2 linked regions of the Tribolium castaneum genome follow. Each later gene encodes a partner of the first gene's protein in a complex. Links are inferred from orthologs where the notes say so. Each region holds a gene or a part of one and is shown in the gene's direction. Other genes may lie near its edges.

Region 1 (4,307 bases):
CCTACACTGTTCATACCTTGAAGATATTCATATTAAAAAATATGGGACCGAGCCCAAATTATTAATTAAAAGCTTTTATTTGACTTGCTTTGTTGTCTTTCTGTCTGTTTCTTTTTTTGCAAGTCACATTTGAGAGTTCCTGTTGTCTGAATGAATTGAAATTTTGCATACTTACGTAATTTACTAATTAATAAAATTAATTTAAAACCATATGGGCCCGAGACTGTCTAACACTTGAAGCGCCCTTGTTTTTACTCTCCCGTTTTATATTTTTTGGCGCCAGAAAATTGAGCGATTTTGTATTTATCTCGTTCCGTGTCCTTCCTAAAACCTACTTACTATTTAGTTTTAGTAGTATAGGCTAATCAAACTTGTTACAGTTCAGGGAATCAGAGATTTGTTTTGCTTGCCGTTCGAGCAATACAAGAAAGATGGTCGCTTCTTCAGAGGCCTTCATCGCGGTGCTAATAGTTTTACGACTTCGACGGCAATAGCAGCTTTAGAGCTCACAACGCGGCTTATTCAACTGATTCAAGTGAGTTAAAACCGTTTCGGTTCATTTTCTATATTGTTATTTTTTTAGATTACGGCTGAAACTGCCTTTGATATGTTGACCCCAGGGCCGAGCGTAAAAATTAATCCAAAGACAAAAGTGCGCCGTAAACGATACAGCCAACCCAAGGACATCAGAGAAGGGGTGACCAATGCGTACAAGCTAGTTAAAGAAGTAGGACAGTTGTGAATTTTTGTAAAAAAAATTCTACGTGATGGTTATTGTTTCAGGGAATTGAGGAAACTGCCGATAATATACTACAAGTGGCTTCACACGAACATGAACAAAAAGGTTACAGTGGTGCTGTCGGGGGTGTTATACGCCAAATACCCCCAACTATAATTAAACCAATTATCATAGCTTCTGAAGCTACCAACAATGTGCTGGGTGGTATGCGCTGCCAGTTGGTACCAGACGCAAGAAAGGAAGCCAATGAAAAATGGCGTAACGAAGATACCTACGATTCATACGAGTGATAACAAAAGACTGTTGTTTGTGATTTTAAATTAACAATATAGATAATTTCGTTTAAGGTTGAATTGAGTTGTTGTGAATTGAGTTGTTGTTTTTACGTAGTCTTGTTATTAATCAAATATTCAGTGTCCATATTACGCCATTTTGGATGAGTTTACCTGAGCTGATACTGAATGATAAAAACGGGACAATATATTTTCGTAAGTTGAGCAAAATTGCGCTGTTCGTTCTCACGTGATATTCTAATAATCTGTACAACCACAACAAATGATTTCGTTTGTACCGATTATTTATTTGTATGTTGTGTGTGTTTGGATGCAGAAATGGACCGCGAATTACCATTTTGTGATAGGATTATTGTAATTAAACAATTTTTCATGTATGCAATATGAATAAATTTTTATACTTCGCAAAACGCGTTTTATTGGTTATCCCTCAAAAAAGTGACACTATCGTCATAGTAACGCGTTCAATTGTTGTCAAAAATGGAGTCAGATTTGGACTTCTTTCCGGATTATTTGAACGGTTACCAGTTCGACGATGGCGAAGGCGAAGAAGTGGAAGAAGAGGAGATCAAATACCATTACATCGAGATCTTGGACGCTCCGCGAGAGCTATTACCACCGGTCGAATTAACTCTGAAAGACCTCTCGCACATAGCGAACGAGCTGGGTTTGATAAAACTTTGTTGGCCCGAAATCGAACATCCGGAATTTGAGAATCGGGTGAACTTCCCGGAAAGCTACTTAGCCAATTCCAATAAGGAGAAGTTGCTTTTGCTCTACACGGAAAATTTCAGGAGGCAATTCAGCTACAAGTATCCTCACAGGAAGCAATTATTTCTGGCCAGTAACAACGAATGCGGAATGCAGGTAAGCAGAGAGCTGCCGCGCTTCCACCGCAAAGGGATAGATGGGGTGCGGTTGAATTTTTCAGAAAATGGTGTGCAATACGATTCGGCTCACAACGCTTCCCTATCCGGAAATTGAAACCTGGCAGGACTGCGCGAAATTTGTGGGAAATGCGCTGCGGTTCGAGCCGTTCGAGATTCCCACCTTGATTGTAAGTAAAAAACATGTTTATTTACAAAATCACAAAACAAAGAAAAAACAATGATTGTATACTACTCTTAGTTTTTAACTAAAGAGTTAAAAATATTGATATGATATACAGAAAAAAAACTTATTAGTACTTTCGTAATCGCTACATAGCTACATATTCATAACATATTCTTTGTTTAATTCATTTTTTGAATTTTTTTTATAAATTAAATAATTGCTGTCATTCTCTGTACACATTCTACAAAGATCTACGCAAGTGAAACTAAAATTTAATTTTTTCACGAATTTATTTTTTAGTGAGTGAAGTTATTACGTGTTGCAAATGAGTTTTTCAAGCGATCCTAATTCGTTTACTTATACATAAGATTTTTTTAATCTTGAGTTAATTTTGTTACAATTCCCTCTACCATTCCAAGATTCAAAAAAACCACCGAGTGATTGTACCGTCTTTTTAAATCACAATGTATAAATAAGAAAAGAAAGGCTTTTTATGCAAAATGGGGCGAGAACTGAGCTGGTTACATGGTTATATGTAGTTATACTCGTAGGTTATTAGTTATAAGATATAATTCATGTTTAAAAAAAAACTTACATTTTGTAACTGACTCACAACGTCAAATAAGGAAAAAGATTTTAATGGGAACTACCATTGAGTTGGAACTACGCTTTGCTTGTGTTATGATCCAAAATGACTAAGTCATGCTGACTCATGCATCCCCAAACCTTGTTGATATCAAGACTGATAACAAAGTATATATATACAGGCAATTAGAATAAAAATATGAATCTGAATCTCAATCTCTTCATGTTCTAGTGTAGTGTTAGTTTTAATAAACATATTCAAGAAATATTGTCCATTTACTACTCATCTTCAAAGAAGGCACTCAACAAATTGGCGCAGTCAGTAGGATGCGAAGATTGTGACAAAGAAGAAAGAAAATTGGGTCGACATCAAAAATCGAACCCGTTTTCCCCCAATTGCCACAATTGAAATTAATCTTCAAGAAGTCAAAGAAAAGGGTCGAGAAATTTTCATCGAGTATCCCACAGCTTTGAACGTAAGTGGACAATCTTTTTCTAAAGCTATTTTTAAATCTAGTAGTACGTTTATCCTGTTGCATGTTTCTTCGTTCACACGCAAAAAAAATAATAATGACTACTATCGCTACCACTACACCTACAACCTCCACAACAATCATAACAACATCGCAAATTCAAAACCCTATTCCTAATCGAAATCATAACTCTAACAATAATAATGATAATAAGGAAAACTCAAACACCAATGATACGCCAATTCATAACATGTCTGATATCCGGTCAATCATTTCTAACGATTTTGACGGGGACAGAAGCAAACTTTACGATTTTCTCCAAAATTGCGGTCAAGCGTGGGCGTTATGTCGCGGAGACCAAAAAATTTTAATAATCTCGTATATGGAATCTAAACTAAAAGGTGCTGCTAGAGCACAAACCCGATTTCACAAATTTTATTCTTTTAAAGAATTTCGTGATTGCCTACTAAAATTATTTGGAGACAGACGCGATTTTTCACAAATACTAGAAGAATTAAGTTCGATTCGACAACATAGGAATGAAAGCGTTCAATCTTACTTTTCGCGAATAGAAAATTTGCAAACCTTAGCTTTTAATAAAATATCTTTTCAAGACGAAAAAGAATCATGCGGCCGAACAGCAATGATTAACGAAATCGCTCTACAAAGATTCATTTTACATGCTAACGAAGAAATATCAAATGCTTTGAGACGATCTAAACCACAAAACTTAAACGATGCGTTAGCTGAAGCCCTTGACGAGGAAAGATTTTTAAATGCTCGTAAATATAATTCATCAGATTTTTCTGTTAATAATAAATTTTGTTCCTATTGTAAAGTCAAAGGTCATTTGTCAAAAGAATGTCGAAAAAGAAATGTAGATCAAAGTCATTCACCTAATCATAGTGTATCTAAAAATCATAAAACAAAATCAAATTTTAATAGTAACTCCAATTCAAAATTTTGCCGTTACTGCAAAAAGAACGGTCACTTAATCGAAGAATGTAGGAAACGCGAATATAATAATCAGAAAAAACAAAGCCAATCCTCTTCAAATAATAATGTCGTTAATTTAAACTCACAAACGTCCACAGTGAGTGTCGCACTAGTGGACAACCATTAAATTCAAAGTTCGACACAACTCGCAAACAAAATTCCAAAGTT
Region 2 (2,706 bases), on another chromosome or scaffold:
AAAGATGCAGAGTGCAATCTAGGAGAGGTTTTGGATAAAAAAAATTAAAAGAGTTTATAAAATAATTTTGAGTAGTATAGAAAATAATTTCTAAAGAAGTATATGGAGATGGATTTATAAAATAATTTAAAAAGTTCCAATTTTAGGTTTAGAAACGATTTTTTAAAATATTTGAGACTTATTTTAAAAACAATCTAAAAAAGAGTAGACAAACAAATAATGCCAAAAAATAATTTAGAAAAATTCGAAACGAAAGTACAAAGGAATTTTCAAACAAAGCAGACCTAATAATTGTCTTAAAAAACGTGAAAAATTCGTGAATTTATACAATAATCGAAAGAAGAATCTATATTTCAGATCTAGAATTAGGCTTATTTAGGAAAAAAAGAAAAGAAAAGAATTAGAAAAGTATATGAAAAAAAAATCCAGAGAAGACTACAGAATTAATAAAAATTATTTGGAAAAATTGTAAAGGAAACTACAGAAGAATTTATAACCGAATCTAAAGATGTAACCTAAAGAAGATTATAACCTAATAAGATTATTTCAAGAGAAAAATTCTATACGAAACTGTAGAAGAATTTTGGAAAGATACAGAGTAGAATCTAGAAGAAAATTTGGATAAAAATATTTGAAAAAAAGTGTATAAAATAATTTTGATTAGAGTCTAGAAAATAATTCTAAAGACGTATCTACAGATACCTAGAGTCTCCTCTACAAAAAAATTTAGAAGAATATTATGAACAATGTAAAAAAAAGTACATAAATAAAATAATAATACAGACTAAAAAATAATTTGGAAGAATTTTAAACGACGCAGACAAGAATCTTAAATTTGGATAATGTCAAAAAAATGTAAAAGTGTTAATAAAACAATTTTGGATTTGAAAGAAGAATCTAGAGAAGATGGATTTATAAAATAATCTAAAGAAGAGTACAGAAAGCTAAAGAATAATCTGGAAGAAATTTAAACGAAACTAAAGGAAAATCTTGAAAAACTGCAAAGTAGAATCTACTACAGAGTGACTATTAAAGACTGTGACAAAAAAACCTATTAGTAACACTGAATTATTGGCCTTCATGGTGGCTTGTTATATTAAGATTTCAAATTTGTCACCAACCTGACAAGAATCGCAATTTTTGAATAATCACCTGGTAAAGAGAATTTGAATAATATTTGTGTATTTATTTTATTTACACTGTTTTTTGTCATTCGTAATTTGTGCAACATAAATATGGCATTTTTACTTTTTAATGTTATTTTTAATTAAGAGTAATTATTATTATTGGTGATTTTTACCAAAAAAATATGCAAGTGGTACAACTGCCAACACTTCAAATCACCTAGCAACCAAAACTGTCGCTAGGAGACCGTCAACTGTTTAAACCTTAACGATTATCAAAATTGTTAAAATGTTGGAAGACGAAGAAGAAGAAATTCATGGTTTTTGTCAAAAACTCGTCTTTTTCCAAAAAACCAACACGTTTTTTTAGTGCCTATTAATAATGACTTGGAGCGCAGAATTGCCGACGCGTTTGAAGTTTTCGACCACGCAGGTAACAAAACAGTCGATGTTCGAGAAGTGGCAACGATCGTACGTGCCTTGGGTTGTTGCCCCACTGAGGCAGAAATTCAGGAAATTTTGATGGCTGTTGAAAACCCCGAATCTCCCGGAAGTGTACACTTGTCTAATTTTTTACCCCACATGTCGCAAATCATCACTGAACACAAGTATCACCAAAATTTAATCGCCAAAAAACGAAATTTTCATTCGCAGGTATCAGCCTGCAAGTCCCGCGCAACTTTTAGAAGCGTTCCAAGTGCTAGATAATGAAGGTAAAGGTTTTTTAACAAAGGAACGCATTTCCACGCTTATGACGCAAGATGGTGAGCCCTTTACCCAAGACGAACTCGACGAAATGCTGGAAATAGCCATAGACCCACACACTCAAACTGTGCCTTATGAATATTACATCAATCAGCTAATGGTACCTAATTTTTATTTTTGCAAATATTGCACTACGTTATTTTTAATAGCACGAACCTGAAGGAGAGAAAGATATCTATAAGTTAGCTGATCGTGTTCTTGAGGAAAATCCACCTCCACCTCCTCCTCCTCCACCTCGAAGGCTGTCCGAGTTCCTGCATGATTTGTCCGTTCCTGAATTTTAAATTATAAAACACTCCAAACTTCCACCTTGTTTATTATTTAATCTTCTTGCTTAATTTACAATTTTGCGAAAACTGTATCTTTCTGTTTGGTAGCTTGGGCTACTGTTGCTGTTGTGAAGTCTTCACTTTGAAGCATTAGCTGATTCCATAAGGCCTGTAAGTAATGTGTTATTAATTTATTATTTTTTGCAGCTGGATTAAGAAACAAGCACTAATGGGGGCGCCATTGAAAAATAAGCTTAATTTATCTTCTTGTTATTTAATTAAGGCAAGTTTCCTTTTATTAGGTGGTTTCAGTGAACATTAATAAAGAATAAAGAAATATTTCTGTGTTGTTACTGATAAATAGTTACTCCTTCTGTTCGAAAATACGGTAGGTATAACTTTTAAAGGCCGGTAAGTAATTACCAGTGTGAGGAAATTTTAGGGGGTGGCCATGAGGCCACAACCGATCAGCCGACTCGTCGTAGCGCTCTCGCGATGTTCATATTTATCGATGAAATGGTCCGCTACAGCGTGTGCATTGGCGTAGT

The links. The genes of interacting proteins can lie anywhere in the genome.
Region 2: lobo (region 1) and dynein regulatory complex protein 8 share a complex: the UniProt entries of both Homo sapiens proteins name them as parts of the nexin-dynein regulatory complex. The link is inferred for Tribolium castaneum from reciprocal best matches to the Homo sapiens genes DRC7 and DRC8.

The regions. Positions count from the first base shown.
Region 1 is NC_087396.1:17,962,943-17,967,249, forward strand, and holds the start of lobo (dynein regulatory complex subunit 7), read left to right. Parts: upstream 1-1,490; 5' UTR 1,491-1,512; coding exon 1,513-1,899; intron 1,900-1,963; coding exon 1,964-2,089; intron 2,090-2,889; exon of another isoform or gene 2,890-4,307. Other genes in the region: Atg2 (autophagy-related protein 2 homolog B), read left to right, coding at 381-535, 584-727, 784-1,029. UniProt on the Homo sapiens protein: Component of the nexin-dynein regulatory complex (N-DRC) a key regulator of ciliary/flagellar motility which maintains the alignment and integrity of the distal axoneme and regulates microtubule sliding in motile axonemes.
Region 2 is NC_087394.1:7,333,154-7,335,859, forward strand, and holds dynein regulatory complex protein 8, read left to right. Parts: upstream 1-1,278; 5' UTR 1,279-1,413; coding exon 1,414-1,444; intron 1,445-1,494; coding exon 1,495-1,732; intron 1,733-1,778; coding exon 1,779-1,989; intron 1,990-2,038; coding exon 2,039-2,173; 3' UTR 2,174-2,195; downstream 2,196-2,706. Other genes in the region: delta(3,5)-Delta(2,4)-dienoyl-CoA isomerase, mitochondrial, read right to left, coding at 2,229-2,327. UniProt on the Homo sapiens protein: Component of the nexin-dynein regulatory complex (N-DRC), a key regulator of ciliary/flagellar motility which maintains the alignment and integrity of the distal axoneme and regulates microtubule sliding in motile axonemes.